Kluyveromyces lactis: one gene and its partners. The protein of the gene in region 2 interacts with the protein of the main gene of each other region in a biochemical or structural test. Links are inferred from orthologs where the notes say so. Each region holds a gene or a part of one and is shown on either strand. Other genes may lie near its edges.

Evidence for each region.
Region 1: the proteins of NYV1 (region 2) and VTI1 form a complex in vitro, tested with the Saccharomyces cerevisiae proteins (2 studies listed by BioGRID). The link is inferred for Kluyveromyces lactis from reciprocal best matches to the Saccharomyces cerevisiae genes NYV1 and VTI1.
Region 3: the proteins of NYV1 (region 2) and BET1 form a complex in vitro, tested with the Saccharomyces cerevisiae proteins (2 studies listed by BioGRID). The link is inferred for Kluyveromyces lactis from reciprocal best matches to the Saccharomyces cerevisiae genes NYV1 and BET1.
Region 4: the proteins of NYV1 (region 2) and TLG1 form a complex in vitro, tested with the Saccharomyces cerevisiae proteins (2 studies listed by BioGRID). The link is inferred for Kluyveromyces lactis from reciprocal best matches to the Saccharomyces cerevisiae genes NYV1 and TLG1.
Region 5: the proteins of NYV1 (region 2) and VAM3 form a complex in vitro, tested with the Saccharomyces cerevisiae proteins (11 studies listed by BioGRID). The link is inferred for Kluyveromyces lactis from reciprocal best matches to the Saccharomyces cerevisiae genes NYV1 and VAM3.

What each region holds. Positions count from the first base shown.
Region 1 is NC_006038.1:898,397-904,814, forward strand, and holds VTI1 (v-SNARE protein VTI1), read right to left. Parts: upstream 2,467-6,418; coding exon 1,801-2,466; downstream 1-1,800. Other genes in the region: KLLA0_B10263g (uncharacterized protein), read left to right, coding at 1-1,520; YAH1 (adrenodoxin), read left to right, coding at 3,170-3,670; CIK1 (Cik1p), read left to right, coding at 4,295-6,136; HFI1 (Hfi1p), read right to left, coding at 6,260-6,418. UniProt on the Saccharomyces cerevisiae protein: t-SNARE found in various SNARE complexes involved in multiple transport pathways. The composition of the t-SNARE complexes is specific for a limited number of v-SNAREs and therefore allows only the vesicles carrying the matching v-SNARE to fuse.
Region 2 is NC_006042.1:1,797,157-1,803,494, forward strand, and holds NYV1 (Nyv1p), read right to left. Parts: upstream 3,111-6,338; coding exon 2,415-3,110; downstream 1-2,414. Other genes in the region: TRM1 (tRNA (guanine26-N2)-dimethyltransferase), read right to left, coding at 1-1,086; DPB4 (DNA polymerase epsilon noncatalytic subunit), read left to right, coding at 1,658-2,308; KLLA0_F19470g (uncharacterized protein), read right to left, coding at 3,544-5,049; GIS3 (Gis3p), read right to left, coding at 5,852-6,338. UniProt on the Saccharomyces cerevisiae protein: Vacuolar v-SNARE required for docking. Only involved in homotypic vacuole fusion.
Region 3 is NC_006040.1:1,197,835-1,203,839, reverse strand, and holds BET1 (Bet1p), read right to left. Parts: upstream 3,512-6,005; coding exon 3,068-3,511; downstream 1-3,067. Other genes in the region: YIA6 (NAD+ transporter), read left to right, coding at 1-318; protein disulfide isomerase EPS1, read left to right, coding at 750-2,870; iron-sulfur cluster assembly protein CFD1, read left to right, coding at 3,918-4,769; VAB2 (Vab2p), read right to left, coding at 4,794-5,639. UniProt on the Saccharomyces cerevisiae protein: SNARE required for targeting and fusion of ER-derived transport vesicles with the Golgi complex.
Region 4 is NC_006041.1:317,479-323,854, reverse strand, and holds TLG1 (Tlg1p), read right to left. Parts: upstream 3,689-6,376; coding exon 2,993-3,688; downstream 1-2,992. Other genes in the region: protein kinase PKH3, read left to right, coding at 1-91; TDA3 (Tda3p), read right to left, coding at 367-1,878; SDC1 (Sdc1p), read left to right, coding at 3,951-4,355; mitofusin complex protein UGO1, read right to left, coding at 4,464-5,906; KLLA0_E03477g (uncharacterized protein), read right to left, coding at 6,276-6,376.
Region 5 is NC_006039.1:1,127,306-1,133,658, forward strand, and holds VAM3 (SNAP receptor VAM3), read right to left. Parts: upstream 2,504-6,353; coding exon 1,715-2,503; downstream 1-1,714. Other genes in the region: MET4 (Met4p), read left to right, coding at 1-1,563; DNA-directed DNA polymerase alpha catalytic subunit POL1, read left to right, coding at 3,024-6,353. UniProt on the Saccharomyces cerevisiae protein: Required for vacuolar assembly. Provides the t-SNARE function in a late step of the vacuolar assembly. Required for homotypic vacuole membrane fusion, autophagy and fusion of biosynthetic transport vesicles with the vacuole.

The DNA of each region.
Region 1 (6,418 bases), on a different chromosome or scaffold from region 2:
GTAACAACGTCTTTGAAGGTGGATTTTTAGGATTGGATAATATTGGTATCTTCAATAGATCAGAACCTTTGCCAACAGGTGGAACATTGGAACAGGCAGACTCGACTGGTTGGATGGCATTCTTCTCATTGCAAATGTTAAATATCGCATTAGAACTTGCAAAGGAAAATCCTGTCTATGAAGACATTGCCACTAAGTTTTTCGAACACTTTTTGTACATCAGTGATTCTATGTCCTTCAAATTCGAAAAGAATAGTGCAGACAACTTCAAAGAGGAAGTCAAAGAAAGTTTGTGGAATGAAGAAGACCAATTCTATTACGATGCCATTTCTTGGGGTGAACCATTTAAGCAACAACTACCAATCAGGTCTCTCGTTGGTTTAATTCCATTGTATGCTTGTATGACTTTGGAACCGAGAATCTTAGATAAGTTCCCTGGCTTTAAGAAACGTATTGACTGGTTCCTTTCCAATAGAAGTGCCATGTTTGATAGAAATATTGCTTCTATGGAAAAAAGAGGTATCGGTGAGAGACTTCTATTAGCTCTTGTTAATGAAGATCGGTTAAAAGCCATCTTATCTAGGATGCTCGATGAAACTGAGTTCTTATCCGATTACGGTATAAGATCTCTATCTAAATACCATGAAACCCACCCATTCTCTATGTCCGTTAACGGTGAACAATACGAAGTCAAATATTTACCAGGTGAATCAAACTCAGGTATGTTTGGTGGTAACTCCAATTGGAGAGGGCCTGTTTGGTTCCCTACAAATTTCTTGCTTGTCGAGTCATTGCAAAGGTTTTTTTTGTACTATGGTCCTGACTTCAAAGTCGAGTGTCCAACGGGGTCTGGCGAGTTCCTAAACTTGGCCCAAGTGGCAGAAGAACTTCAGCATAGATTAATTCATTTATTCATCCCCGATGCCGAAGGCCAAAGAGCTGTATATCATGGTGAATACAGTGAGTTTTTGTCTAAGGATCCTAATTTCGAGGAACTAATTCCTTTCTATGAATATTTCGACGGTGATACTGGTAGGGGCTTGGGTGCAAGCCATCAGTGTGGCTGGACTGCGCTAGTGGCTAAATGGATTCATGACACAGGTTTATCATGTGTCAGGTTGCCTAGAACTCCTAGATCATCTGTCACTCTGTCCAATTTAGACAAAACTCAAGTCGATTCATTGTTAAACGAATTAAAGCCTAACATGCCACGTAAAATTGCAAGGCGTAAGAGTTCCAAGTCGTTAATTAACTTAACAGCTACGCAACTTGAGTTGACAGAAGAGGAGAAATATCTACATTGTATTGGTAGCACAAGACGTGAATCTGCAAAACTTGCTCAGCGCTCCGGAAGCATCATCAGTAGCGAAGAAGACGATGAAGAAGGTGTGACCTTCGAGAAACTGAAACAGAACCAGTTAGCCGAAGAAGAATCACGTCTAGTAAATGAATTAAGGAGGCGTCTATCTCATACCACTATCAATTCAGCTGATGAAGATGAATTAGAATGTCTTCCATGAACAGCGCTATGCTATTCTGACCGGCCTTTTTCCATCACTATTACTATCATTATCATTATTATTTTTATTATTATTATTTCTTATATCGTTCTTATTTTATATACAACTAGATAAGTATTCAAAATCAGATATCATTTATACACGGTAAATTGTATTCTTCTCATGAGAGTATAAAATTATACCACAAGGGTCAAAATTAAAATTATATAAATTCATTACTATAGCTATTCTGCTTAAACTTGCATTGAGACTGAACTAAAAGACGCAGAGAAATCGATTACTATTTGAATTTGGAGAATATCACTAACAAGATAAGTAGTATCAAAACCGCTATTATTGCGTAAGAAATGAACTTATTGGCTATGAGTCTTCTAGTCATGGTTTTCAAAGTGCGAATACTCTTGTCGACGTACGAATCAGCATGGAACAAAGTTTGTCTTGCATTCTCCAATGTTTCTCTTTGAGATCTCAAATCCATCATTATCTGTGCACCAACGTTCTCAGTCTCGGATGCCAGTCTTGTAGCATCCTGTAATTTATCACCAGAACGTTGTAAAAGCGCATGGTTCGATAAAAGCTGTTGCCTTTGTTCATCATTATCGAAGTGGCGACCTTCAAGTAACTTATTCCTATCGCTTTCTTGCACCAATTGCTTTAAAGGATCCTTAATTTCATTCTGACACTGTCTCTTATAATCTCTGATCTTTGCTTTATAAGATGCCCTTGTCTTAGAATCCAACGAGTTCCCTGTATTATTCAACTCTATTTCCATTTGATCCACTAATTCTAAAGATTCATCATGGTACTGTTGAATTTGTAAAAGTATATCCGATTTTCCACCTTTTAAAACAGCACCGGCATCATTCTTAGCATTAGCAAGCAAAACCTTCGCCTGGTTTATAGCGACTTGACATTCAGATTCATAGTTCTGCAATAATGAGGACATCCTGATAAAATAATATGGTTCAGAACCTTCCTTTTTATATTATCTCTTCCCGAATTTCACAACCTAAAGGAAATTTAAGGTTTGAATGTAAACTTGCAGGCCAATGTACGTCTGAAGTAGGCCCCGTTACCAGCTATAACAGCTTAATCACCAGGCCTGCTTTTCGTTGATTCCTAACATTAACTTGAACTCATGGGAGAAGCTTCAATAAAGGGAATAGAAAGAAAAAGAAAGAAAAATACATTGTTCACGTGACTTTGATTGAGTCATGTAAAGACCAGTATCTAGATAAGGGCAAACAATCATTTTGAACCACATCCGCCAAATCCGCGGAAGACCGAGGTGGAATCAGGCCCAGAAACGGTCTGTTTTTTTTGTCTTTGGTTTCATTTCATACCGGCGTTTTCATGAACACTGACAAATTGGGAAAAATCCGATGAGATTCAATAATTGAATGATTAACAATAAGCATTTGCCAATTTCGATGTGAACTGAAGGGAGAACTAGATATAAAGCAACCTTTTTTTGCCAAATAAAAGCTACTTAAGAATCAGAGTTGATAAAAGTTCAGGACAGCTTTTTTTCTCATTGTGGTATAGCAGACGGAAAGGGTCTTTGGTTTCCTTTTAGTAACACTTATCGTTGTTGTTTGTGAATTATTTTTAATCATCCATATCTATTTGGAAAAACTCCTGTATAATCAATGATCAGAGGAATATTGACTAGACAAGCTGGGCATCTGAACCAGTTAAGAGCCAGAAGCATTACTTCTCCTAGCATCTCTCACAACATATGGTTAGCCCGTACAAATTTGTCATGGAAGAGATACCATGGACATTTACATAAACCGAAACCGGGAGAAGAGTTGCATGTGACATTCATATTGAAGGATGGAACACAAAAGACTTTTGAAGTGGCAGAAGGGGACTCTCTCTTGGATATAGCTCAAGGCCATAATCTAGATATGGAGGGTGCCTGTGGTGGTTCTTGTGCTTGTTCGACCTGTCACGTGATTGTGGACCCAGACTATTACGACGCATTAGAAGAACCTGACGATGATGAAAATGATATGTTGGATTTGGCTTACGGGTTAACTGAGACAAGTAGATTGGGATGTTGCATTAAAATGAATAAGGATATCGATGGTATCAGAGTCGCTCTTCCTTCAATGACAAGAAATGTTTCATCTTCAGACTTCGAATAGAGAGAATGACTAAACTGAATTCAGTCATCATATGAAAAGAGACAGCTTTAGATCTTTCTTTTTTTCCCAACAGGGGAAGCATGACATGAGTGACACCAGTTGCATTACCTGTAAATAGGAGCAATCAACCAAGCTCGTTCGCAGTCCATTATCATTATTATTATTTATCATGCATCAGTAAAAGTTTCCCCACGCTGTGTACCGGTGCTATCTATGCACAATACATACATAGTTAAAGGTATTTTACTGTTACCCGGTTACCATATCGTCTTTCACATAAAGAAAAGATATATTTGTTGTCCACGTGACTTTCAAATGACATTTTACGTATTCATCGCTTTTTTTGTAAACATAAACAAATAGACTGTATGAGAAAAGCTTGAAACATCAACAGTTGTTCAGAACAGGTTTTGGGTTCGGTTTCAGGTGTGTCTCACCTGTGTATCACTGATTTCAAATTGGGCCGTGCGTTTGTTACTGTAACTACCGAGATAACGGGCGCCTTAATTTTCTTCTTTTTATTCAATTACCTGATTTTAAGGTAGGCATTATATTACGATTGCGGCGACAATCCTGATCAGAGCTTGTCAAGTCAATGCTATTGATGAACAGTGACCTTTTGTTATGAATGAGACTCGAATTCCATCTATAAATTCAAGAAAACGGCAGAAGCCGTTTTCTTCAGGTTCTGTGTCTGGACAGAAGAAGCATCATCCTGTGCTAGCAAATATAACGAATATGGTGACCACTACAGGAACAACGACAGTAGCTAACAGTAGCGGTTCGAAGAAGGAGCAATTTGCTCCTTCATATCAAACGAAGAGTCAAAGTACGAATATGAGACTATTGAACAAATATTTTTATGGGGATCCCAACGTTATTGAGGAGGTTAAGAAAAGAGAGAGAAAAGCTTTAAAAGATATTCACTTGTTTACTAAACAGATTGAGGAAACGGATTCTCGGTTGGAATCCCTTACTTCTGAGGTTATCCCGCAGCTCAAATACAATTTGAACAAAAGATCCATCATTTTCAAGCACTTGAAACAAGAGACCATGGTGATGCAGGAACAATTATATCAGTTGAAGAACGATTGTGAGCTAAAGAAGAAAAACCATGAGCTGATAACTAACAACTTGAATTTAGAGCATTCTATAAATATACAAGAAGTGATAAATCAATGGCAGCTGAAAATATCTGATAAAAGACACATCTGGGAACTTGAGTTACAAAAATTAAAACAAACTAAACCTGATCCGGCTGTCCTTAAAGAAATCGAAGAGTTAAGCACAGATAAAGCGATCATAGAGAATGATTTAAAAGATTTGAAACGTAAAAACCATGAACAAATTCAATCATATGAGAATGAATTAAAATTACGATTGGAAAAGTTCAAAGAAGATAAAAAGGAACCGCTGATAGCATCCATAGAAGAAAACAAAAAACTAAAGATTAAGATAAATGATCTGAAGGCAACTCAGGAAGCACTACGAGATAAAATTCGAAATAGTGTTGATACTGAACTTTCCTTACAAGAAATTATTAAAAATAAAAGATTGGAGCTACAAACGTTAGAAGCTTCATTGGAGCCGGTAGAGGAGAAACTTAACCAACTTCAATTGAGATATAAATCAGAGAAAGATACCACTGATGAAGTTAAAGCCAAAGCTAAATTAGCAGAAGCGGAATACAATAAAAATTATGATAGAATGGAACAAGAGCAATCGCAAAGAAGAATCCTGGAAAACACAATAGATGAGTTGGATGGTCACATTCGTTGTTTTGCATATCTTAATTACGACGAACTTAATGACTATGCAGTAGACTATATGAACAAATGTATTATCGGAGATACAGATGTGTTTTACTTTAGCAGAATTCTTCCGAGAGACTTAGTATCACCTTCAAACCTTTTCAATAATGAATGCTTCACCTTCGTCGATTCGTGCTTAAAGAGTAAGAAAAGTTGTAATATTATATCAATAAACGATGATTTGAGGAAAGATTTCCTACGAACGATAAATGAACGATTTTTGAAATCCAAAGTTCTTGTTCAGATGGTTGTATTGAACGACAGTGACCTTTCGAAGGATTTATTAAATTCTGAGGATTCTGATTTATCCGCTGTCATTGACGAAAAATGTATTGATTTCCATTCTAAAAGACTACCGATTGAAGAAGTGAATAATTTTATACTTCCCGATTTCAGAGGAATTCATGTTATGAAATTTGAAGTCTTCGATAAAGAAGATGATTTTGAAAGCATATTTTTCATCCAAGCACCTACTAAGGAAATTCAGAAAATGAATGCGATTGATATCACAAAGACGGCTGTCAGCCCAGTCTCGACCTTCTTGCAATCGTTATTATTAAGACTTGAATCCTTAATAATATTCAATTTTGATACACCAGATTCCTCATTATTACAATTATCACAAACTTTACATAAACTACCAAATCCGAAATAGTAGTCATATTCCCTGTCTATAAATTCTACAAAAAAATGAAAGCGTGGAAATTGTTCGATTAAATCAATCAGAAGAGTGACTTTTGGCTCCTTCAATTGAGAATATTCGCAATACTGTTAGTCATTATTTCTTTGTAAGAATATCTTTAATTAGCCAGTTAAGCTCTTCCCGGCTTCCCATATTCTTTTCGTCAAGGGGAGTGAAGTTAGGCTTTTCCCGTTTATAATGAAATAGATCATCGACAGGACTTTTGAAATGAACGATCTCATCGTCATTTACCAA
Region 2 (6,338 bases):
CCTATCAACTGGTGGACCTTGTGCCAAGGAGAATTTGGTGAATTTGACCCCCTTCTTAGTTGTCCTTTCTTGTTGTCTGCCTAGAGGCTGTGTGTGGTAAGCATTACAGCCAGAACACATATATCCGACCATGGTATTCGACTGCAAGTTTTTGACTTCAATTGGGCTTGTTTTGACTCTAATGAAAACTCTGACGTAGAAATCGATACTTAACGAAAGAAGTGGTTCAATAGTCTTTTTATACTTTGCAGCTGATTGTCCTAAAAGGTTTAAAACTAGCCTCAATGCACTTTCATGAGTAGCATCGTGACCTGCCATATTAACACCACTGTACAATGCAAAACATTTTTCGGGGTATCCGTTACCAGCCAAGACCGATAGATCTGTACATGTAACCAGCATCAATCCACCATCTTCGATGGATTGCATTGATGCATCGACGAAAGGAGTAACGGTACCATATGGATCCAAATCAATTACATGGTATTTCTCATTTTTGCTTTTGTTTCTGTACATCAGCACATTTGCATCATCCAAATTGGGTACAACTTTATCCGAGACCTCATTATAGATGACATTTCTCTTTATGGATTCCACTGCCTCTGGTAGTAAATCGTTGGCTACAATAGTCTTCACATTAGGAACCTCCTTAGAATATCTTATAGCACGTAGCCCGGTTGCACTCAATGCTTCCAAAATTTTGATGTACGGCCTGGTAGAATGATCTTTTGAAGACACAGCTACAGAGTCTTGATCTTCGTTTAATTTACGCCTTTTGATAGTATCGTAATCGGAACCATCTTCATTGCTCTCTATGGGTTTCCTTTTCTTGTTCTTGCTCTTCAGTTCACGGCTTTCACGTTGTTCCTCTTGATACAGTTCATCCCATGCTTTGATACAAGTGACACTCAAATCTCTATTGAACTGCTGGATTGGATTATAGAACACAGTTTCCTTGTTAGGAAATAATATCTTAGCATCACCCTCTTGCACCACCTTGAACTGAGAAACATCGATCGTTGAGCTATCCAACGTTACTTTTCTGCCAAATTTTGACTTCAAACTTTGAAAGGCAGCCCTGAGCATATTGCAAGTTTAAATTCTTACTTTTCTTTATATGGTTTTGCTTTCCCTCCTAAAACAAACCAGCTGAAAACGCTTACTTGGCCTTTGACACACACCTCAGCGATTATTTACTAGGCCTGAGGATCAAGCTATATATCTTATCTTAAGTTGATTTCTGCGAGAAGAGATGTGATGAGATGCGATGCCCATGACTGAAAAAATTGAAAAGTTGGAAACTAGGCTGTAAAGATGTAAAAAGTATGGGAATCTATGTCACGTGATTTAATCTTTCTATTGTTTATTTGGCACGTACGATTAAGTACCTCAAGACGAAATGCATATGGTACACATGGTTCAGTATCGATATTAATCGAGGATATGATGACTAGTTCGAAGCAGACTATTAGCTGTTACTACTTCTATCTACTTTTTTTTAGCTTTCATTACTGTTCTCTTGGTGGAAGTAATATCATTATGCTTATAGTGAAATTTGTGCGTTTGCATTAAGATTTATTACCACTAATGATTCAAGAAAATAAGAACCATCAAATGAAAGAATTCACAAAACTCTAAGAGGCAAACAAGCGCGGGTATGCCACCAAAAGGTTGGAGAAAGGATTCTGAAGGAAATTATCCTAATACGTCTTATATAAAAGAACAAGAAAAGATCAGTATTGATGATTTACTATTTCCTAAAAGCATAATCACATCTCTAGCGAAGGAATCACTTCAGAACGCGTTTCAAAAGGGCGAAGAAGAGAGAAGAATCACGGTTAGTAAGGATGCTGCATTGGCAATGCAGAGGTCAGCGACAGTCTTTGTCAATCACTTATTAATGTTTGCTAGAATGAACGCAAAGGATTCTAATAGAAAGAGTTGTAATGATCAGGATATCATGGCTGCTTTAGATACGTTGGGGCTAGGTGCTTTGGAGAGCATACTCACGGGAAAGATGCAGGAGTACCAGGAAGCCATACTTTGGAAGAAGCAAAATAAAGTCAATAATGCTGTGCCTGGTGCGGACGGAGACATAGCAATGGAAGATGATGAAGATGATGAAGATGACGATGGCAGAGAAGGCGCAGATGCTGACGCCGAGCCTAAATCCAGAGCTGATACTGAGGTTCAACAAGGTAACGCTGAAAATGATAAATTAGATGGGCCTCCAGTCAACCAAGAACAAGTACCTAGCACGCGCCAGAACGACCTGGATTTAAGCACAAAAAAACAGAAGACGGAATGATCGTATAATCGATTTGTGGAGAAGAGGTGGCAAGAAGTATAAGTACTATAAACAATTATACCGTTTTCGTGTGCTCATGGGTTACCTATACTTAAAAAAAATAGAACTAATGTAGTAATAATAACGACACAATCACAATAATCGCCAGTACAACTATAATGACAATGGAATAAAACTTAACGTTATTCCACCACATTTTTCTCATAATCTTAGAGGATTTCCTTTGAAATTTAAAACTATTTTCGTTCAATTGATTAGTATTATCCACAAGCAGGGATATCCTTTCCTGTCTCTGTAAAAACTTATCGATATTATCATTCATTATTGCAATAATGTTTTGTAGCTCTTCCTCAGTGGATGCAGCTGTCTGCTGTCCTTCCGTGCGATAAGATAATAATTCTTCATGGAATTTGTCCAATTGATTATCGATATTACTCTTCAAATATTCATCGTTGTCATTATTCAAACATTTTAGTTCTGATAATAACCTCAACGGTAGGAATTTGGGGACTTCTTCTTTAACAAAACAAATGAGCACTTTATTGTTCTCTGCAGTTGTATAATAGCAATCATACCCCTCTATAAGGTCGATAGACGTCTTTGTAACTTTGTTTCCCGGAAGATTCACCACTGTTCGTATTACCATATCGCCGATTAACCTGTGAAACACTGCTTTTTGATCGGCTCTCCCTTTATCAGTGCTTCCATATTTACTATTGTTTTCGTCCTTGGAGTCGTACCAGCTAGAAAGAACTCGATCTCCATCCCAAACTTCAACATATGACACACTATACCGCTTCATTGTTGTAATAATTCACCACTACTAACAGGCAATTAATCCTGAGAGTCCTTTCACAGTTTCCTTGCAACCCTTCTACCAGATGTAGCTGGTAAACATGGAAATTTGTCAGTTTTCATATTTTCAACATTCTCCAAAGGATATCATAACAGAATCAGAACCGAGACAAAATCTCTACCTCCGGCAGAAAGAAGAAAAAATGTCAGCTGAAGCCTACGGTATAGTTGTGATAACTTAATAGTCTTCTCATTTTTGATTGAAGCTGCTGATACCTAATTCACTTTTGAAGTACAGAATTATTCATATTTATATCTATTTGACATGTCTATAAATCTATCAAAGATAATGTCGATAATGACATATTCCAATGACAAATATGTATGCGTAAGTTCCTTTGTGATATTAGTATAATTGAACTATACTTACCCTCGATAACTTATGGTACAAAGGTTGGAATTTGTACGCAGGACTTAGAATCTTCTGGCCATTTGAGATACCCACTTTCCAAAAGTTCATCCAGAGTTTTGGCCTTTGTACCGGTAGCTTTGTAATAAGCGACATATCCTTCTTTTATAGCGTTGATGGCTGACCTAGCTCTAATCTGATCTCCTTTCCATTCAACACCAAAATAACCACCATTACCAGCATGTCTAATCTCACGATTTAATCGTTGAGAGTATTGGACGTCCCATGGGAATGCCAAATCATGATACTTACTTCCATCGCCACTTTTCTCGATGAACCAATCATGGTACTTCTGTTGAAGTTCCTCCGATGGAAGTTGGATTCTTCCTGACCATACTCTGCTCAACCAAGCACCTTGGGTCTCGGATAGTCTTGTAGGAAGAACAAACCTTGGTAGGCCAATAATACCGAATGTTGGCAATGATATTGGAAGAATATGGTTGTACAGGTTTTGTACTCGTCTACCATCACCAATTAAGTTGTTGAGAATGGAATTTCCGACACCAGATTCATTCTGTGGTAAAAATGGTAGGGACTTTAAGTAACCAGTACAGAAAATCACTTTTTCCACATTCTTTAATTCGGTGCCGTCAACGAAGGTAATCGATTTTGTTGACGGATTAAACTCTCTAATATCAGGCACATCTTTAATGAAAGGATCGAATGGGGCCGGTAATTTGGATTCGGATCTCTTCGACTTATAAATAGGCTTCTGTAGTTCGTTAGCCAATTCAAATGCTAAGTCTGCACCAGAAGCACTGTTACCAACAATCAAAATCTCCCCTTCTACACCATGGAAATCTTCTGGACAGTCAAAATCCTTGGCATGGGAAACGGAGCATGGGTATTTCACGTTCCATTCTTTTAAACCTGGTCTTGAAGGAATAAATGGTAGATCATAAAATCCAGTAGCAACGGCAACGGCATCGAACTTCTCCTCTGTAATTTCCTTACTGAGAAGGTTCTGAGCTTTGACAGAATATTCAGCTGTTGCGTCTTCGTAAGAAACTTTCACAATTTCTGAGTTGAAAGTAACATATTTTTCAATGGGTTTGGAATATTTCATAATATAATCAAGCACTTGTTCTCTCACAGGGAATAATGGGGTGTCTGTTGGAAATCTGTGACCTTTGTACTCCATCAATGTCTTAGGAACATTGGTATCTAGATATTTATAAACTGCTGTTTGGAACACATGTGTTTCTTCAGGGTGTGGTTGAGGTTGAATTCTAATGTGAGGGTATTCACAAGGAACAGACGGCGACGATGTGACATTAGAGTCCTTCAGTAAAGGTTTTGTATAGTTCCATAGACCACCAAAATTGGATCTCTTCTCAAAAACTTTGACAGATTCGAAATGTTTCTCATTCAGCAAGGCTTTTGTTAAACCTGATCCAACTGGACCAGCTCCGATGACTGCAACGCGGCGAATTTTATCAGGATTCACTTTTATTAATCTAATTTGAGTAGGTCTCATTTTTTATAGTGATTGCGCGCCCTCGTAACAGACTTTCGTAAATCCAGTGTTAATCTTTGGAAGGTTGACAATTTCTCAGCTGCCTGGTCAGAAATTGTATTTAATTGGCTTGTAGCCTATGTATTGTAAGTGCCACTTTTTTTAAAACTGGATACTGCGATCTGAAAGGATGAGTTTGGCAGTTAATTATAATGTTAGGAAACTTTCGAAATCTGTCTCCGATATATCGATATAGGGGAGTTCCTTGATTGAAGCTGCTAGATTTATCTCATCCCAATCTCTTGTTATATACGTTTATGCTCTTTAGACCATCATGTTTTTTCATTCGATGAACGGACTTTGGCTGAATCAAGTAGTTTAAAAATCCGTTGTGGCTTTATCACGTGACTAAAATCACTGCATATAGACACCGTGAACCAACTCACTGCTAGAACTGTGTGGGGTGTGTGTTGAAGCTTTAGAAGATGGTGTTATCTGATCAATATCTAGATGAGATCTTAGAGATACTGTAGTTATCATGTGATGGTTTTTGTGGACATGAGGGACCTACTGTGTCTTATTAATCCATAAAAGATCGTAAGTTCCTAATACATTGGGTACTAAAGTCATAGCATCATTATTAATTGATAAGTTGCTCGAGTACATCTCGAATAGGAAAGTGAAGTGGTGGGAAGAATAAATATCTATGTCTATATCTATATATGCATATATGGTTGTATAATGGTATCGGTGATAGGAAGGTAAATGCTTTTTTTTGTTGTTTTTTTTTTGTTTATCTATGTTGCATATTATCAGCTCGAGTTCATGCAAATCTACAGTCACACCAACCTTTCACCACGTATTGAATCTCCTTGGAATTAGCGTTTTTTCCAAGGGAAATTCTGCCACATGGTTTGAACATAGTTGGTTGTGACATTTCTGGTTGTGACCAAGGTTTCACCTCGGAGTTCAATCTCACGAGTGACGTAGTTTCCTTTGTATTTTCATCTTCTTCGATATCTGATGAAGAAGAATCACGTACAGTTGTTGCCTTGACGAATTTCAAGTTTGCTGGTGCATGCTCACCGTGAAGATCTGTCCTCGTAACCTGGCACATGTCTGACCAAAGCTTCTTTCTTGTTATTAGTGCTAATTTGATTTGATGTGGTGATATCCTGTTGGATGGATCTGCTGGAATGTTCAACTGAGAAATTTCTTGGATTGAAAGCCGTTGTAGAATGGACTCATCTAAGTTGAGGTCAGGCAATAAATTTTTCTGTTTCATACTAGTTTCTAATGCATACAGTCGT
Region 3 (6,005 bases), on a different chromosome or scaffold from region 2:
ACTACCGGTTCTACAAATTTTCAGTTGGGACGGTTGATCGTTGCATCCTGTGGGTCAAAGATGATCGCTTCAACGCTCACCTACCCTCATGAAATACTAAGAACCAGGTTACAACTGAAATCTGATATGAAACCTTCCATTAAATCGATAATACGAACGACTTATGCAAAGGAAGGGATAAGAGGGTTTTATTCGGGTTTCCTAACTAATATGTTCAGAACTGTACCGGCATCAGCAATTACTTTAGTCTCGTTTGAATACTTCAGGAAGCATTTCAAACTTTGGAACGATAGTATAGAGGTAGAAAGGGGCGGATAGAATGGATGGGTTTTTTTTTTTCATTATCATCTCTATGTTTCCATTCAATATCTTCGCTTTTCTATATAAATATTTATGCACGACGTTAACTAACACCTACACGTCATATACTTAACTGTATACCCACATACTCACGCGCACGTATTCATTTAAATATTCTCTCATATTCATCGTTAATTAACCAAAAGTCTCTACACTTATCCTTTACTTGTATTGTATTTATTTATATATATATATATGCCTTTATTCATCATTCTTATCAATCAGTATCTTTTTTTGCAGTAATTTAAAATAGCCTTATGCCCATTTTGACTACATGCAACATAGGAAAGGTTGGAAATCAATACGATATATATACATGAGTGAGGTATTGGAGCAATTAGGAATTCTTGTGCTACTAAGAAATATCAGCTAAAGGTTCTATTACCGAAATGGTTTCTCACTTGTGGCTTTTGCAATACTTGATTCTTTCGATACCATTGGTTTTAGGTGCACCACCAAGAGCTAATCCTAATCAAGGTAATGCTGCGGATCCAGAAAGTAAATTACCGTCTCCATTGACTGAAGCCAACTTTGACGAGACCATAGCAAAGAATCTACACATCATCGAATTTTTCAGTCCATATTGCCATCATTGTAAGCAGCTAGCCCCAATTTGGGAAAAGACGTACAATGGCTTTTACGATGAATCCTTGCAGCTCAACATATCTCTCCATCAAGTGGATTGTATCGAGTCAGGAGACTTATGTATGAAAGAGGGTATTAATTCATACCCTACCATCAGATTATATGGACCAGAAGGCTTTATCAAGGCATTTCCCAGAGGTTTGGAACGGACTGAAACAACTTTGCTAAATTTTGCAAGAAAGGAAGCTCTGGATGCAGACAATCTGGATATCACTAAACTATCGAGCAAGAGTAAACTGTTGAATGATGGTGAGCTCTTGAAGATTTTATCAGAACCTCAAACTGAACCATACTTTGTCTCATTTTGGCCAACCTCTGATTTTGAAGATATCGAATCTTCTTATCAGTTCAAAAACTGTGAAGACTGTTCGCTTTTTCAACGGATTTGGAAGTTGGTAAGTAACAAGGCTGACTCGATAGGAATCAATACGGTACATTTCAACTGTGTGAATCCGACAGATTCTTCAAAGAATGAAGCCATTTGTAGGGAGTTGTCCTTCGATACTTTGACTCAGAAGAGAAACTCTAGGTTAGAAAGAGCCCCGGAATTTGCATTGATCTTACCTAACCGCAAGAGTGGTAGTTTTATTAAGTTCCCATTTGGTCCAAAGCGTGTCGATAGCGAATCCTTGATTGATTTTGCTACAAGAACTTTACACAACAGTAACGTTCCAAATATTGATCAGGATGAGATCGAAGCTTTTGTAAAAGAACCAAAAAGTGACATTTTGGAAGCAAATGCCGAAGCCGATAAAATATTGCTTGTATTTAATTATAACCCGGAAACTGTTGTCCCTGAGGATATGCAATTTTTGGAACAACTCATTGACCCATTGGGATACATCCCTAATATTTACTTGTACAAGAACACTGACGACCTAAAGAAGTTAAGCCATACTCTCTATCAAACTCTGTACAAAGATTATAATACCGATCAACGCACTGAAATTAATGAGGACCATTTTATCACGACATCCATTACCCAATCACCAACGTTCTTCATATTCAAGAAATCTACGTTTACTCCGATCATATTCCCTGGATATTCAACAACTGAAACCAGAAATTTGGACTTCATCTTGGATTGGCTCACTATAAACTCTCTTCCAACTGTCACTGAGATTACATCCAAAAACTTTGAAGCATTAAAAGGATTTGAACAAGATTTCTATGACAAGTTGGTAATTCAATTGGTTAATAAGAAGAATAATAAGTTTGAAGAAGGTTCAAAGAAAATCGTCGAAGGCCTACGAGTAGCGGCACATAGTTATGAAATATTGCGTAACGAGGCGGTGTACGAAGGTCTTAAGACGGCCAGAGAAGAAAAGAAAAAACTGGTGCAAAAGCTTAAGAACAAAAACGCACCATCCGTTGATATAGTCACTGCCATGAGAAAAGAGATAAATTACAGTTATAATCACAAGGTCATATTTGCCTATTTGGACATTAATGAATCCCCTTCTCTCTTGAATAATAAAGGTCTAAATGTTTACTTCAGGAAGTTCAAGACTGGTGATATCATTGTCGTGGACAAGCAAAAAGCCATCTATTACGAAAAGGATGCTTCTGGACAATACATCACCCTAGAGACGTTGCCCGAAGTCCTCTCCATTCTGAATTTCCCCGCAAGACACCCTGATCTTCGTATTGAACGCATCTTTTTGAGAACTCCACTCAGTGGATTGCTCAGATTAATTGACTACCTCCGCGAATTTAGCGGAATCAATTACTTATTTGTTGTGGTGACATTCTTGGCGTTATGGAAAATACCCAGAACCATTCATCATTATAAACTGAAAAGACGTTACGCTGCAAAACGGGATACTCATGGTATCCTCGGGAAGGAAGCTAAGCTCATGGATTGAGGAACAGGAATTCTTCCTATAAATAATCTTATATTTCAACCTAATACTGATAGTTACGATTTATTAATATATCTTTTTAATGGTACATATAATGCGTGAAGGAATGCGTTTAACCAATACGAATTAGATATACATGCTCGATGGGATACTCTTCAGTACATGACCCTTTTGTGGTTTTTTATTTCGCTCTCGCTCTCTCAACGTATCCAGACGTAGAAGAACAAAAGTGTCAGAACACCAAATATTATGAACCATATTTTTAATGGAATGCGAGAATTCTGAGCCATCACCATCATTCTCTTGAAAGTCCTTTTCAAACGGTTGCTAGTCTGTTCAAAAACGTTTCCTAACTGATCTAAGGTCTGATTGCTACCACGAATCTCATCTCCCATTCGTAGAGATAAATTCTTTAGTGCGTTGATCTTTTCACTCATGGTATTCATTTGTTCATCACTTTGAGACTCGAGCTGCGAAAGTGTTGCTTGAGAATAATCTACCCCTGGGGATGGTCTATCAAACGGCGAACTTGGTCTATCCTGTTGTTGTTTATACTTAGAGAAGTCAGTACCCGCAAACAATTGCGTCCTACTCGCATCTCGCTGTGTCAAATCACCTTGCATTCCACTATAGTTTGAACTCATACCTTAATTATTTCTAGTGCCTCAACAATAAAATACAAAGTGTAGATTTGTCAAGATACTCAGATCTAACCATAGGGAATTAAGTGCAGTTTCACCTTGGAACTTCCTAGTCCATCTGTAAGCTACTACCAAATCGATTCGCTTAACGAAAACTTTTTGTTGAAGTTTAATCACGTGATATTGTCCTCGAAGGTTTCCCCTTCGCTCTGACAAAGGTATCATTATCATCATGAAATCCTAGTTAAGCTAAGAGTTAAATGTATTAGTCAACCTACTGTTTAAACGGCTGAGAAAAGTATTTGCAGTATACCCTTTTATAAGTATTCTGTCCACTGTGAGCATATACAGTCATATCTGCAGTGGCTGGTACGTTTAGTGTCCCAGGATCATAATCAATTGTATCTCGATGTCAGCTGAAACCGAATTATTGGGTATGCCTGAGTCCTTAAAGGACATCAAGCACATTATATTGGTCCTTTCTGGTAAAGGTGGTGTTGGTAAGTCATCTGTCACCACACAGACAGCATTAACTTTATGTTTAAAGGGATACAAAGTGGGTGTTTTAGACATTGATCTAACTGGACCGTCGTTGCCTAGAATGTTTGGTTTAGAAAATAAACAGGTTTATCAGGCTTCTAAGGGTTGGATACCCGTTAGTGTTCCTACGACATCAGGAGGGGAATTGAAACTCATGTCCTTGGGTTTTCTTTTGGATGATAGAGGTAATAGTGTGGTATGGCGTGGTCCTAAGAAAAGTGCTATGATTAAACAATTTATAAAAGATGTGGATTGGGGAGATTTGGACTATTTGATTATCGATACACCGCCCGGAACTTCGGATGAACATATATCTATCGCAGAAGAGTTGAGGTGGGCTGCACCTGATGGTGCTATTATTGTTACCACGCCTCAAGGTGTCGCTACGGCAGACGTGAGAAAGGAAATCAATTTCTGTAAGAAAGTCAACTTCAATATACTCGGTGTCATCGAGAATATGTCCGGATTTATATGTCCTCATTGTGCTGAATGTACAGATATCTTCTCTAGAGGAGGCGGTTTCAAATTAGCCAGCGAATATAACGTTCCGTACCTGGGGAATATTCCAATTGATCCGACGTTTGTCGAGTTGATTGAGAAACAGACTGGGTTCAAAGAGAGCTTAGTTGATCTCTACAAGGATTCTGGATTGTATGTCATTTTCTCAAAGATATTAGATAATGTACTGAACGGTGAAGTAAAAAGTGGAACAGATCAATAATGGGTAAATTTGACATGAAACTTTTCATAAGTCAGCCGATTTGCTCATGCCTCGAGGTCTAGTGAACGGTTCTGTGATACATATATGCTCAAGAGTTGTAGCGATTGATGGCCTTGATGTACTCCGGATTGATGACAGTGCTAATGGCGCCGAGGATATCGACTGACGGTACGATTTGGTGGTGTTTGAGTCCGCTGAATTTCCTTTGGTACTATGATAATCTTTTTTAGCATTATTTTGGCTTCCATTTGTACTTTGCCTCGAATAAGAGCTGTTCAAACTCTCGGAATTAGCTTCGTTCTGTGACTGCCCACTATTGTCCTTATTCGCTTCGGTTTCTGTCGTGTTACTACTCTCTGGGAACCTTTCTTGCAACAGCTTTGAAATTTTGCTGAATTGCGTCGCATCAACTTTTATACTACCGTTTCTAGTTACGTAGTCTAATAATTCTTCATTCACATCTCTGATTATTCGTACCTTCTTATCAATGTCAGAATATTTGCTTTCGAACTGTTTTAACTGTTTATCCGAATCCTTAGTGAATTTTGATCGTAGTTTTACTAACTTAGAAAAGCTAGACTCTAGTTTTTTTACCGAGTGGTTGATCTTGTTATTTACTTCTTTCGTCTGCGATTGTTCTGTATCGATTTCTTCCTGAAGTCTCGAATAAATTATGGCAACATCGTCACTGATTTGATTTACTTCCTTGGCCACATTGGAGAATATATGATCTTGTCTCAATGAAGAGGAAGAGGGAAGCAAAGGCAATGATTGCAACTGTTTAGAATAATCACTCTTTTCAATTGTCGCAAAGTGGAAGCTCTCTCGCTTCCTCAGGTGCTTCGAATCTCCATAGAATAGGAAACTCATCTTATAGCAGTTGGAATCTCAACCTTCAAAGAACCTTAAAGTTATTGATGGCACTGGGTCAGTACAAGTATAAAAATTTTAGCCAATAAATAATGGTTCCTGAGTACACTAATAGTTTAGTTCAACTGAGCCTTTCTCGCTGTTCTTTCTCTGACAAACGTGCCCTTAATACGTTGGTTTAATGCGTGTCTATTTTAAGGTTCGCATTTATGGTTCTTAAACGTTTTTTCATATAAAATTCAGGCAACCTCTTTACAATACATGTCATCATGAAAGAAAGATTGTTTAAGTTGATTTGAAATCGTTCCGGATGTGTAGTCTAGGGGTATTCATGGTTACTGAATTCAATTGGATTGATGAGATTAA
Region 4 (6,376 bases), on a different chromosome or scaffold from region 2:
AGAGGTACTGTACACTCTGAACAAACAGAAAAGAAGCAATACGGATGCTGCAAATGGAGCGAGAGCTGCTTTCAAGAATATGAATAAATGAAAATATGGAGTTTCCATTCAAACTTCATTCTTTCAAGAACCACATAGATTTTAAATAGTAACTGGTAAATATACAGTATATAATGATAATGAATGGTTATGGGTTTGCAAATTGTGTGTTCTCTGAATACATGATATAGAAAAATATTTAACGGGATAATGATGGCAGTAATTAAATTATTAAAGAGGTTAGAAATCGATTGATGTTTATATGCCGACAGAATGAAAGAAATGAAATGATAGTAAAACACATAAAAACTTTGCAATGGATTCATTTTATTCAAAGATAGATGCATCAAAGTATAAGCTGGGATCCAATGCACTAATATCAGCGGATTTAGCTTCACCGTCAAGTAATAGTTCACTCATAACTTTACCTGTTGCCGGAGCGTTGTTAATACCCCAACAAGAGTGGCCACTAGCAATAAATAACCCTTCAACATTAGTTTCTCCGATTAGAGGTCCGCTTGATGTTGGAACATTCAGGACTGGCAAATAGCAAGCTTGTCTTTTCAAAATGTGACCACGAGACAAATTAGGAGATAACTTGGAGACGTAATGGTATAATTCATCACATTTTTCTTTAACGACTTCCACTGCATCACTGGTTTCTGGTAATTCAACCAGAGTATCACCTTCACCGCACACATACACTTCATCCTTTCTTGCATACATTTCTGGCGAGAAATACTTGTTGGAAGATATCTTCAATTCGGTAAATATAGCATATGGCGAAACAGTTCCGGTGGATGGTTTGATTGTGATGGAATGTGCTCTTAAACCAGAGATTGGACAATCCGGCAATAGTCTAGAAGTCCAAGGTCCCATACATAGAACAACCTGGTCAACGTCCAAAAGGTCAACTGGTTCTTGTAAACGTTGTTCTTCTGGATCATCAACTGTTGGAATGTACGATACTCCCGCTGCGGCACACTGATCGTTGAAATGCAACTGTGACACTTTGCCCAGGATTAAATCCACTGCCCCAGTCTCCATTGCCTTCAACAGTAGATAGTGAGTGAATTTGAAAGGATGTACTTGAGCAGTGGAGTCAGTTCCACCAAGAGATGACCAATCTCTCACCAACCGTTTTTTGATCCAGTTCAAATCACTAGGTAGACGTAATGGGTCTTTAGATAATGCAATCGAGGATTTTGTATCCAACTCCGATGCAGGTGCCTCGTCCTCTTCATCATCTTCTCCGTAACTATATTCGTAATCTTCGTCGTCTTCAGTGGTGCCCACTCTGGAAACAGGTTCGTTGTTCACCACTGCACATGCTTTTTTGGATTTCTTTTTCTGCGATGGCTTTGCTCTTGAGGTAGTCTTTCCATCATTACTAGCATAACTTTCGTCGTCATCGCCGTCATTACTATTATCGTTGACACTGCTTCCAGTTTCTTTTGGATCTAACGAAACGGTATCATCTTGAACGTTGGCCTCAAGGGAAACTGTGGTCAACCGACGGTAATCCCATTTGGTTTCACCGTTATACTCGTCACTCAATTCTTGATGGAGTTGGAAAGAAAGTGGGACAATCTGCTGTGGGAAAGCCCACATCGCTAGTAAACCACCAGCTTTACCAGAGGCACCGCCAGCTACACGTTTAGACTCTATAACGGTGATGTGATGTGTATCCTTGCTAAACGAAGGGTGTCTTGTCAAATAATAAGCAGTACATACCCCGATGATACCTGCACCAACAATAACAATGTGATGCTTCCCCTCAGATTTTCCCGAGGGTTGAGATGCAAACTCCAACTTATCGATGAATTCAGTGTTGCTCATATTGAACGTTGCGCTGCTCTCTGTCTCTATATATGGGTTCTTTTTCTGTTAATCAATTCAAAGATACAGATTCTATCTGTGCTAAAATCCGACCGAATGAACAAGCAGTAGCAAGAAGGGGTACCTTTAATCTTCTATTCGCAACTGGACCAAAAGAGAGAAAATAGGTGAAAAATGAGGTTAAACAGAACGCTTGGATCAACCAATTTGTACAAATGATTCGCCCCTCTAGTAGAGAATATTTAGAAGTAGCAAAGAATCAGTCCCCACGGTACCTAATGCAAAATTAAAATGGAATATAATAAAGTAAGGCAAAAAAAAACTGTGCTGTTATTTTATCCCTGAGAACAGCCAGAAACTATAAGAATCTTGACTTCAATTTCTATCAATGGATATTGTTAGAGAGGGGACTAAACAAAATAGTGAAATATCACACACGCCGCTGCCAATATTGTATTGATTCCTTCAGCTAGTCTAAATCAAGTGAAGAGATATAGAGGGTTTTTGCAGGCCAAAAATTTCAAAAACGATTCTAAAGAAAAGAGCCTGAATAAATCCTAAATAGAGAAAGAAAAAAAAAGTCGGGAAACAAACGATAATTACAAGACACAGAAAATCCGGGAATGAATGCCAGTAAGTATTATCAACTCCGTCCTAATCCTAGTGCCCTTCGCCTCTTAAATGAAATCGCTCTCTTCGATAGTCTTGGATCTGACACTGTAGCTTGACGTGCAAAAAACCCAATCCAGCAAGCAACCTTTTGCTTTTGTACCTTAAAAACTAACTTGGTCTTAATACTTTTCCATTTCTCAGTTTCCATACTTTCTATATATTTCAACAAAAAAATCAGTTCGAAAGCTCCATTGTGGTACGATTTCAAAGCCGCTGTCGTATGTTGTGATTTCCGATTTTTTTCCATACCGCAACAGTGTCGAGAGGTATTTTGTCTATCAGAGGAATGGAACGACGACGATGACGATCCGTCAACTGGGGGGTCAAGAATTGTGTCAGTTTCTCTTAGGAAACTTCGCACCTTTCGTTACTCGGGAATGTGCATCGTCTTCTTCCTTTTTTGGTTTCTGTTTGGTTCCCGGTTCAAATTCGGTGATATACATCACAAAATGAATGCTAGTACTAGTAGGATGATCAATGCAATGATTAAGAGAAAGATGCAGCAGTCGTTGACACGTTCTTTGTTGTGTTCGTAGACCCATTCTAGTTGTCGTCTTCCTCTGGAAAGTTTGTTCATGACTCCGTCGACATTTCCGTCCATTTCTTCGAGAATCATGCCCTGTTCTGTTAGTTCTTGACCCATTGTAGATGCCTGTAGATGAATGTTTTGCATTGTCTGGTGAATCATGTCCAATTGATTGTCTTGTTCACGGAGTAATTGCTCCTGTACGGCGTCGTGGTTTGCCGCGTCTGATTGGTCGGTGCCTGCAGTTGCCTCGATGTCCAAATCGAAGGAATCGCCACGCTGTTGTTGCTGCGGCAGCAATGATGATTGGGTAGCTGCATCGGTGTCGCGGGTTGTCTCGATATTTAACGACTGGCATTGTTTCAATTTTGATTCCAGGTTTGCCATGGACTTCTCACGGGTCTGAATTTCGTATTCGGGAATAGCTTGTTCCTGTTTCATCATTTCTATACTCTCATTTAGATCTTGGATAGTCTCTTGAGCCTCAGAGATGATTTCCGAGATCTCTTTCGAACTGGTGTTCGATCTCCCTTTCTTCTTCCTATCTAATATCTGCAATAATTGGTTCAATTGTTCCTCTGTGTCCTTGAAAACCTGAATAAATGGATCCATTTTGTCCTCTTTGCTTTTGGTGGTTAATTTTGATATAATATTGGTATTACCTGATTCAGTGCGGTCTGTTTCTTGGGGAGCTCGAATTGTACCTGCCTTGGTGAACTTTGTTTAAGATTTCAGTTTGTTATTATTTTCCTTTTATTATTGACAATCTTGAAAAATCACTGAGTTTTGACTATATACATGGACAGATCTACACCTAGACTTGGCCGAATAAAGCTCCAATCCTGGTCTCCTGCCACAACTGAAGCTTATCTACATGTCAGAACCAGTGATGGAGAATATGGCACCTGAAGATGTGGTAAAACTTGAGAAAGAAGAACATATTGTACCGGATATTGGCGTCTCTTCGATTTCTACCACTGAACCCCTGTCTCCATCGGGTATACCAAGGGAATCATCTGGAACTGTTACCTCTGCAACTGCAGCTACAACAGAAAGAGAAGTATCACCCAAGAAGGAACTACAAATTGATCATGATCGTGTTGATCCAGTAGCGATGATCGGTGGGTCAACCACTAGAAGATATTTGAATGAACATGTAACAAAACATTTATTGGAAGGAATGAAACTGATAGCCAGAGAAAAGCCCGAGGATCCACTTCGAGTATTAGGCCAGTTCTTGATTGATGCAAGCGAAATGAACCAGAAGCCTTCATCGTAGATATGAATTTACGACTTTCTTAAACTAAAGACATCTGTATTATTATTATTATTTTATATATGTATGTTTTCCTTCAATGTCCAGTTCACTTATAGATATCTACATGAACTAAAACTTCTCCTCTTCGAGTATTTCTGATGGCTTATTTAAAATCTTCAAACCATAACCGCATAAAATGCTTAGAAGCCCGAGTCTCCAGCCTCGCCATAGTTCACTAATTCTGTCGCACTGCTTGAATACCGTCAGGTAGATGGATTGGTACTCCCTTGGTTTTATGATTAACATTTCAGATTGTACTTGGAATGGGTTTTCTGTGAACAAGAACTTCACTTGACTCCTTCTCAATAGATTCTCAATTGGTAGCTTTACGAAGAGTTCACAAACTTTACTGCAGAACTTTAATGTGTTGTACAGAATCACATTAGTGAATTTGTCAACATTGAACTGATGATATAGTATTGCACCGGTTAATTTGCTAAATCCTGTCCCTACCAGGGAATATAATATATTCAAAAAGACCAATTCCTTATTTAGTTTGGATATGTTTTCCCTCCAGGACCATTTTCTCAACAATTTTCTTAAGGATCTATCGTTATCAGAAAGGGAACCATCGTTACGAACAGAAGAGATAATTAACCTAACTCTGACGAGATCCAACGGTAATAATACAAGTCTTGTCATGCAACTTGCCAAAAGAATTAAGCTTGCGGATTTCGTTACGTCTGGTGAGTGTATGATATCAATAAAATATGGATCTGGAATTTGCATCAGCGGAGATAATAAACCAGTAAACCATGCATCCAACGATATGGATAGGAAATTATAAATAAATTCAGTATTATTAGCTCTCCATACACCCTGTATACCTTCTTTATCCATAATACTGTTTAAAATATCAATGGTATGGATGCTTGCAGGTTTGATTAAGGTACCATTCTCATCAGCAACGCCTTGTTCCTCCTTTGCTGCTCTTTCAATCAGATTGGCTTGTGACTCATTGACGAAGAAGTTTGGCTCGGCTTCGTCATCGTCATCATCTTCAAATTCATGGTTGTCATTAACATTATCATTATCATTATAGTAGGCTGATTTATTGCCATCTGTAAGGTAATCAAAGTCACCTACTTGCAAAAGCAACTTTGCAATTTCGAATGGTTGGCGAATTAAATGCTGGAAGTATTTTGAGGATAGCTGCCTAAGCAACCTTTCAAGAAGGTGTCTCCATACATTCACGTTGATAAAATCATTCCATTCAAGATCGTTAAGGGATTTGGCATTATTACCGTGTTTGGAGTTCATGATTCCATGAAGAAATTTGTTTTTGAGACCAGTGGTTAACTCAGTTAAGGTGTTACCACCTGATAAACTTCTATTAAGCGACTTCAAGCCGCTGCCCACCGATTGATTTACTATTGTTAACTTAGAGGCGATATTCAGACCGTTTTGGTCGATGACACCTTTGTCATTCTGAAATACTGCTGAATAACCAACATTGAAAGTCTCTGGATCATAGTACGGACGTAGGATGGATGAATCTTTGATCTCCTCCATTTTCAACACTCCGAATGTTGCTTTTTGAAGTTCTTTCTCCCTTGTTAACTCGCCATCAGTTTTTATTGTTGTACTAGTTGCTACTTGATTATTTTATTTACCTTGTAAATTTCAAGTGCACTATTTCTCTGTGAATGAAAAGTAATATGAAAATCAAGCGTTTATATAGGTAAGGGGAGCAAAATATTTCGATCTCCAGACAAAGGAATCAATGAGTTCATCCATCATTAATGTTACATAAGGAATTTATTAGCTATGAATCTATGTTTATGATCCCTTTCCTTCAGATCAAGTAAACCTTCTACTGCAATGTGAAGATGCATTTCCACATAAGATGATAGCGTTTACTTATCGATTGTATATGGAATCTTATGAAGAATCTTCAAAATCAGAGTTATTCTGCGGTATGCTATCAAATGCAGAAGACGATGAAGGTCTTGGCTCGTTTAACGATATTACTCGTCTATTTC
Region 5 (6,353 bases), on a different chromosome or scaffold from region 2:
AATCCTAGTACTAATGATAATAACATCGACAATAACAATAATAATAACAGTGGTAACAATCATAATAGTAATAATAACAATAATAATAATAATAATAATAATAATAATAATAATAACAGAAACTCTTCGGAAAAGAGAAACTTGTTCGATAGAAAATCAAACCTGCTGGGAAACCAGTATGATCATACGCGGCAACGGTTTTCGAGGAAAAGGTCATCGACACAGAATTCTCCGATCCCCGATCATGGAGGATTTACACACTTTGATGTTCAAGACCAATCCAATAGTCATAATACAGGCAACCTAAATGGCACAAGTGCAAACCGCCAACGAGATATGCCGTTTGCCACTTCCCCACTAACAAATTTATTAGCCGCATATGATTTAACTTCAATGTCATATCCGTCCAATACCACTGTATCGTCTGCCTCTTCAATCGTCAACACAGCTAGTAACCATGGTAATAATCATGTCAATAGCAACGAAAATCCGTATCGTCCAAGTACGGCTGCAACATCAGGATTTGAATCAAATATACAGATGCCAGACTACTCTACAATACAAACTGCGACTTTGGTATCATTGTTGCCTATCATTAATGTTCCCAGAGGTGCTTACCAGTCTTTGCGTAATGTTGGCTTTAAACCAGAACAGATTGACGCCATAGCTGCTATTATGGCTTATTATGAAAGAGAAAGAGAAAAGTTTGATCCTCCTGTGAGGAAGCCAACTAATTTAAATAATCACTCTACAAATAGACCACCATCGTCAGCTTCCCATCTGGGCTCATCGATAGATGTGAATTCGCAAAATCAACTGGTTCCTGAACCTCAAGAACATATTCAAAGCTCCGTTGGCATGCTATTGGATTTTTTGCATGAAAAACCTGAGCCATCTCCTCAATCAAGTGTCCATAAACCTAATCCAAAAAGAGCCAAAAAAACTCCAGTGGAAAAAGAGTCTAGAGTTATTGATACATATATGAAAAACTCACCGAAAGTGCACCACGGCTCAATTTCTAACAACATAAAGAAAGAAAGCGAAGAGAATTCTGCAAAGCAAACACTGGATGATGGTATCAGTAAAACACCAAAATCAGTTGTCAGGAAACTAGAATCAGCTTCCTCTCTTAGGAAGGATGTAACGTCTGCTAAATTGAAGGAAGAGGTGAGACAATCGGAAGAACTTCTCAATGACAAGGAAAATGCTGCTAAGAGTCTCGATGAGAAGATAAACGAAAAAAAGCATAATACTGATTCTGATAAAAACAATTCCTCCAGTGATGGTGTAGAATCGTCGTCCACTTCCTCAACCCTTTCTTCAAGACCCAAACTGCCGAACTTGGATCAAACTAAAAAACTTAAAGAGAAAGAAATGGAAACTTGGGTCCAAGATCTTTCACAGTTAGCTTGTGACTTGAAGCAAAGAATCAATACCCTTGAAATGGAAAACAGACTTCTCAAAAATCTTGTCATTGAACGTGGAGATCTCAAGAATGTTGAGTCTTATGAACTATCCAAAAATAACTCCTCCGAAAGCACTAAAAAGGATACTGACAAGTAAGCTATGATTAATAATTAGTTGTAACCTCTAAGTCGGACATATTTACCTGATGATGCGTGTTCTCTAAAACGTAACGTAACTTTCATCCAAGTATAAGGCCAGAGATAAATTTTGTATTAATATATAGTTACATTCCTCGTAGAATCTAACCCTATGATAGAATCGCGATAAGAGTTATTAGAGTGATAACAACAATAGCTACTAGAAGTATTGTACCACATCTGTTCTTTTTCCTTTGATATTCATTTGCTTTGTGAAGTTCTTTGTTCGCCTTTTGCAAATTATTAGATAATCCTGTCACATTTTCGCCAATTGTGTCAACTTGTTCGCCCTGTTCCTGTACCAGACTTCCTAGTTGTTTGAAGATGGCATTGACCTCTTGCACAGCAGAGTGGATTTTTGATATGTCCTGGGATCTTTCATGTTGAATTATCGTGTGAAAATCTAACTCATCCTGATTCAACAAAGGCTCTTGCTGTTGGGTAGACAAAAGTAACGGAGTATCCTCTGAAGAATGATCCCTCCTCTCGATATCGTCTTGTATTGGCATGCTTTCATATTGCGATACGAGATGTTCCGATTCATTATCTTTACTCTCTTCGTCAGGTATGGGATTCTGTACTGCCCTATTCTCATAATCGGTCTTTACACTGTTATATTGTTTGCTTAACGCTTGAAAATCTCGAGCAAATTTATCTTGTGTATCTAGCGAAGTTAAGTCAGCCAGTTTTCGACTAATTTTCTGGATTTCGGGGATTACTCTATTTTTTATATCAACCCTCAATAGTTGTCCGTCCTTGCTTGTCCCTATTAGATGAGCTTTACGCTTGAGTAATTGAATATTCTGTTCTAGTGTTATCAACAAAGGCACCGCATCGTTTCCACTAGAATCTGCACGATTGTCCTCCTTTTTTGGAGTACTATTTTGATAAAAGGACATCAGATGTAACGCGATTATCTTTACGGGTCCTGCTATCAGCTGTTTCCTTAACAGTTATCCTTCCCTTCAGTTAATGATCACAAACCTCAATTTGAGCACTTTAAAATTGAGGACAGTCTTAAACCACAGGTCATGTGATCCATTTTTCTTTCCAAGCCAACGCCAATTGGTTCAACTAATGGAAATTCGTATCATAATATTGAGGAGCGCACACTCTCTAACACTTCAGCGGCTTCACCGTTTAACCACTCAAGTGTTGTCGGTATTCTACTGTCACTCAATCTTTCGCTCGCTTTTCTTCTCATGCACTCTCGCTTTGTCTCAGCGTTGGTGCCATTAAGTTCATAGATTTCGAACGCGTGCTTTGCAGATAGATACAACTTTAAAAAAAAAAAGAACGCGTAAAAGTAAGAACATCTTCATCATCTTCTTCTTGCAACTCAAACCAGGAAAGACAACAAAACTAAATTACTAGGGTAGTTCGTACTGCCACCCTACACTATTAAAACACTAGCTCGGGATGAGTAATGCGAACAAACTTGAACTGCTCAAAAAATTGCAGAAAGCTAGGAATAATAAATCGAATAGGGATGTGCTAGATGAACAACTGGAAGAAGAAAATGTGTATGACTTGATTGACGAGGATCAATATAGGAGTAAGAAAAGACAAGAGTTGTTAAGAGATGATTTTGTTGAAGATGATGATGGCAGTGGATATGTGGATCGTGGTGTAGATGAATGGGATCAAAGTCAGGAGTTCTACTCTGATGAAGACGATGGTGTTGATGCAAAGTCAGGCAAAAAGCGTAATAAGACCAGTAAGAATAACAAAGGTAAGGATACCATCAGCGATATCATAAAGCAACAAAATGTCAAGAGAAAAATGACAATGCCAACAGAAAAACCTAAGAAAGTGTCACTTGCTGAATTTGATGATATTTTGAGTGAATTTGACGCAGAGCCTCTGGTTAAGAAGCCGAAGCTAACGATATCCAGAAAACAACCTGCAAATACTACGCCTATGAACTATAAACACCCTCAGGTAGATACATCCCCACTTAAAGGTAAAGATGTTGTACCTTTTAAAGCTGATAGCGTTAATCCTATCGATTGTGATTCAATGGAAGAGGACCACGATATTGAATCATTATTAAACGATGTGGCTAGTTCTCCTTCAATGAGCAAGCAGAAGACATATCAAAGCGAAGATGACAGTGAAGATGACGAAGATGATATTCACTTTGGTAGAAAAAAATTCAAATCAATAGCTACTCAAAGGCAGATGAATATCAGCGCTCAAACAGCACCATTAACGTCTTCGCCAACATATGTCACTGCTCCTAACACCCCATTGTCAACTTCTACAGGGTCCACACAAGCAACAGAATCAATTTCCGGATCACTGAGACAAAGAATACCTAAAGAGGATGTAGTAGACGCTGAGACCGGTAGTTTTAACTTTTTTTGGACTGATTTTACCGAAGTCAACTCTTCTTTGATTCTCTTTGGTAAAGTTAAAACGAGAAAGAATCAAGTAGTCTCTGCAATGGCGCAAATCAATGGTTTCAATAGAGAGCTGTATTTTCTACCTAAGGAGGGTAAAACAGCGTCTGATGTCCACCAAGAAATTGTACCTCTATTATTGGATAAATATGGCTTACAATCACTTCGCGCTAAGCCTGAAACGAAAAAGTATGCCTTTGAACTTCCAGGAATACCACACGAAGCGGAGTATTTGAAGGTTTTGTTACCTTATGATACTCCTAAATGCAAGTCAATTACTATTCCCGCTGAACTTGAGGGAGATACATTCAGTCACGTCTTCGGTGGTAACCAAAACCTTTTTGAGAGTTTTGTTGTCCAAAGGAAAATCATGGGCCCTTGCTGGCTTAAGATATCAGATGGCGATTTTGATGCAGTTCAAGGCGCTTCGCATTGTGCTATTGAGGTTCAAATTGATTCACCTAATCATATCTCAGCAACGAATGAAAAATCATCTCCGAGCTTGAACTGTATATCATTGTCTATTCAGACCGTCATGAATGCAAAAGAAAACAAGCAGGAAATTGTTGCTATAAGTATGGCTGTCTTCAAAAATTTATCTCAAGATTCATCAATTCCACAAAATCTCAAACCAAATGAAATAGTGACACTAGTAAGGCCTCCACAAGGATCAACTTTTCCACCTCTTCTGGGACCTAAATCAAAGAAAGAATTATCCGGAAATGTGCGTCTCTTCAATAACGAAAAGACGTTATTAAACTGTTTCTGTGCTCTCTTGAAGGTAAATGATCCTGATGTTATAATAGGACATAGATTGGAAGGTGTCATCTTGGATGTTCTGGCACACAGAGCTTATGAGTTAAATATTCCTCAATTTAGTGTCTTTGGGAGAAGACTGCGGAAAGCATGGCCAGACAAGTTTGGAAAACATAATAATAGTATGACACAGTTCATAGTTAGGGATTTATTTGCAGGTAGGTTGTTATGTGACATTTCCAATGAAATGGGTCAGTCACTAACTCCAAAATGTCAAAATTGGGAACTAAACGAAATGTATCAAGTTTCCTGCGGTATTGAAAGAAAATCTCTCGAAATTAATTACCTAAACCCAATATATCAGGAAGATGAATCCCAGATGCTTCTAGCGCTAGGCGAAAACATCGAAAACTCCATTATAACAGCAGAAGTTGCATTCCGCATTCAAATTCTCTCTTTAACCAAACAACTGACTAATTTAGCAGGCAATGGATGGAGACAGACTTTGGGTGGTACAAGAGCTGGTAGAAATGAATATATTTTGCTTCATGAATTTAACAGAAATGATTACATTGTTCCTGATAAAGAAACAAGGCAAATGAAGCAAGACAGACAACAAAAGAATGAAGATCCTATGGAGCCACAAGTGTCCAGTAAAAAATCAAAATATCAGGGTGGGTTGGTCTTTGAACCAGAAAAAGGTTTGCATAAAAACTATATCTTGGTCATGGATTTCAATTCGTTGTACCCATCTATCATTCAAGAGTTTAATATTTGCTTCACTACTGTTGACAGGAATCCACAGGATAATGAAGAACTTCCAGATGTGCCTTCAAGAGAAAAATCACGAGGTGTACTGCCAAGATTATTGGCCAACCTGGTCCAAAGACGTAGAGAAGTGAAAAATCTAATGAAGACTGAAAATGACGCAAGTAAAAAAGCCCAATATGATATCAGGCAGCAAGCTTTGAAGCTTACGGCAAATTCTATGTATGGTTGTTTGGGTTATGTGAACAGTAGATTTTATGCTAAACCGTTAGCAATGTTAGTTACAAATAAGGGGAGAGAAATTCTCATGAACACAAGACAATTAGCGGAGAGTCTGGGTCTAACAGTTGTGTACGGTGATACCGATTCGGTCATGATCAGTACTGGCTGTGACAATTACATGGATGCAATCAAAATTGGTGAAAACTTTAAAAAGCTGGTGAATGAAAGATACAGTTTGCTTGAAATAGACATTGATAACATCTTCAAAAGGTTACTGTTGCATGCTAAGAAAAAGTATGCTGCATTGAATGTTACTTTTGACAAGCAAAACAATGAGAAAACTACTCTTGAAGTTAAGGGTTTAGATATGAAACGTCGTGAATTCTGTCCATTGTCAAAGGAAGTCTCAACTCGAGTGTTAAATATTCTTCTTTCTGATAAGGACTCGGAGAGTGCTTTACAGGAGATATACGCATATATGGAAGAAATACGTCAAAAAGTAGAGAACAACGAGATTAGAATGGACAAATACAAAATTAATACCAGGCTTTCTAAGGATCCTAAGTCATATCCTGGGGGTAAGAATATGCCAGCAGTTCAA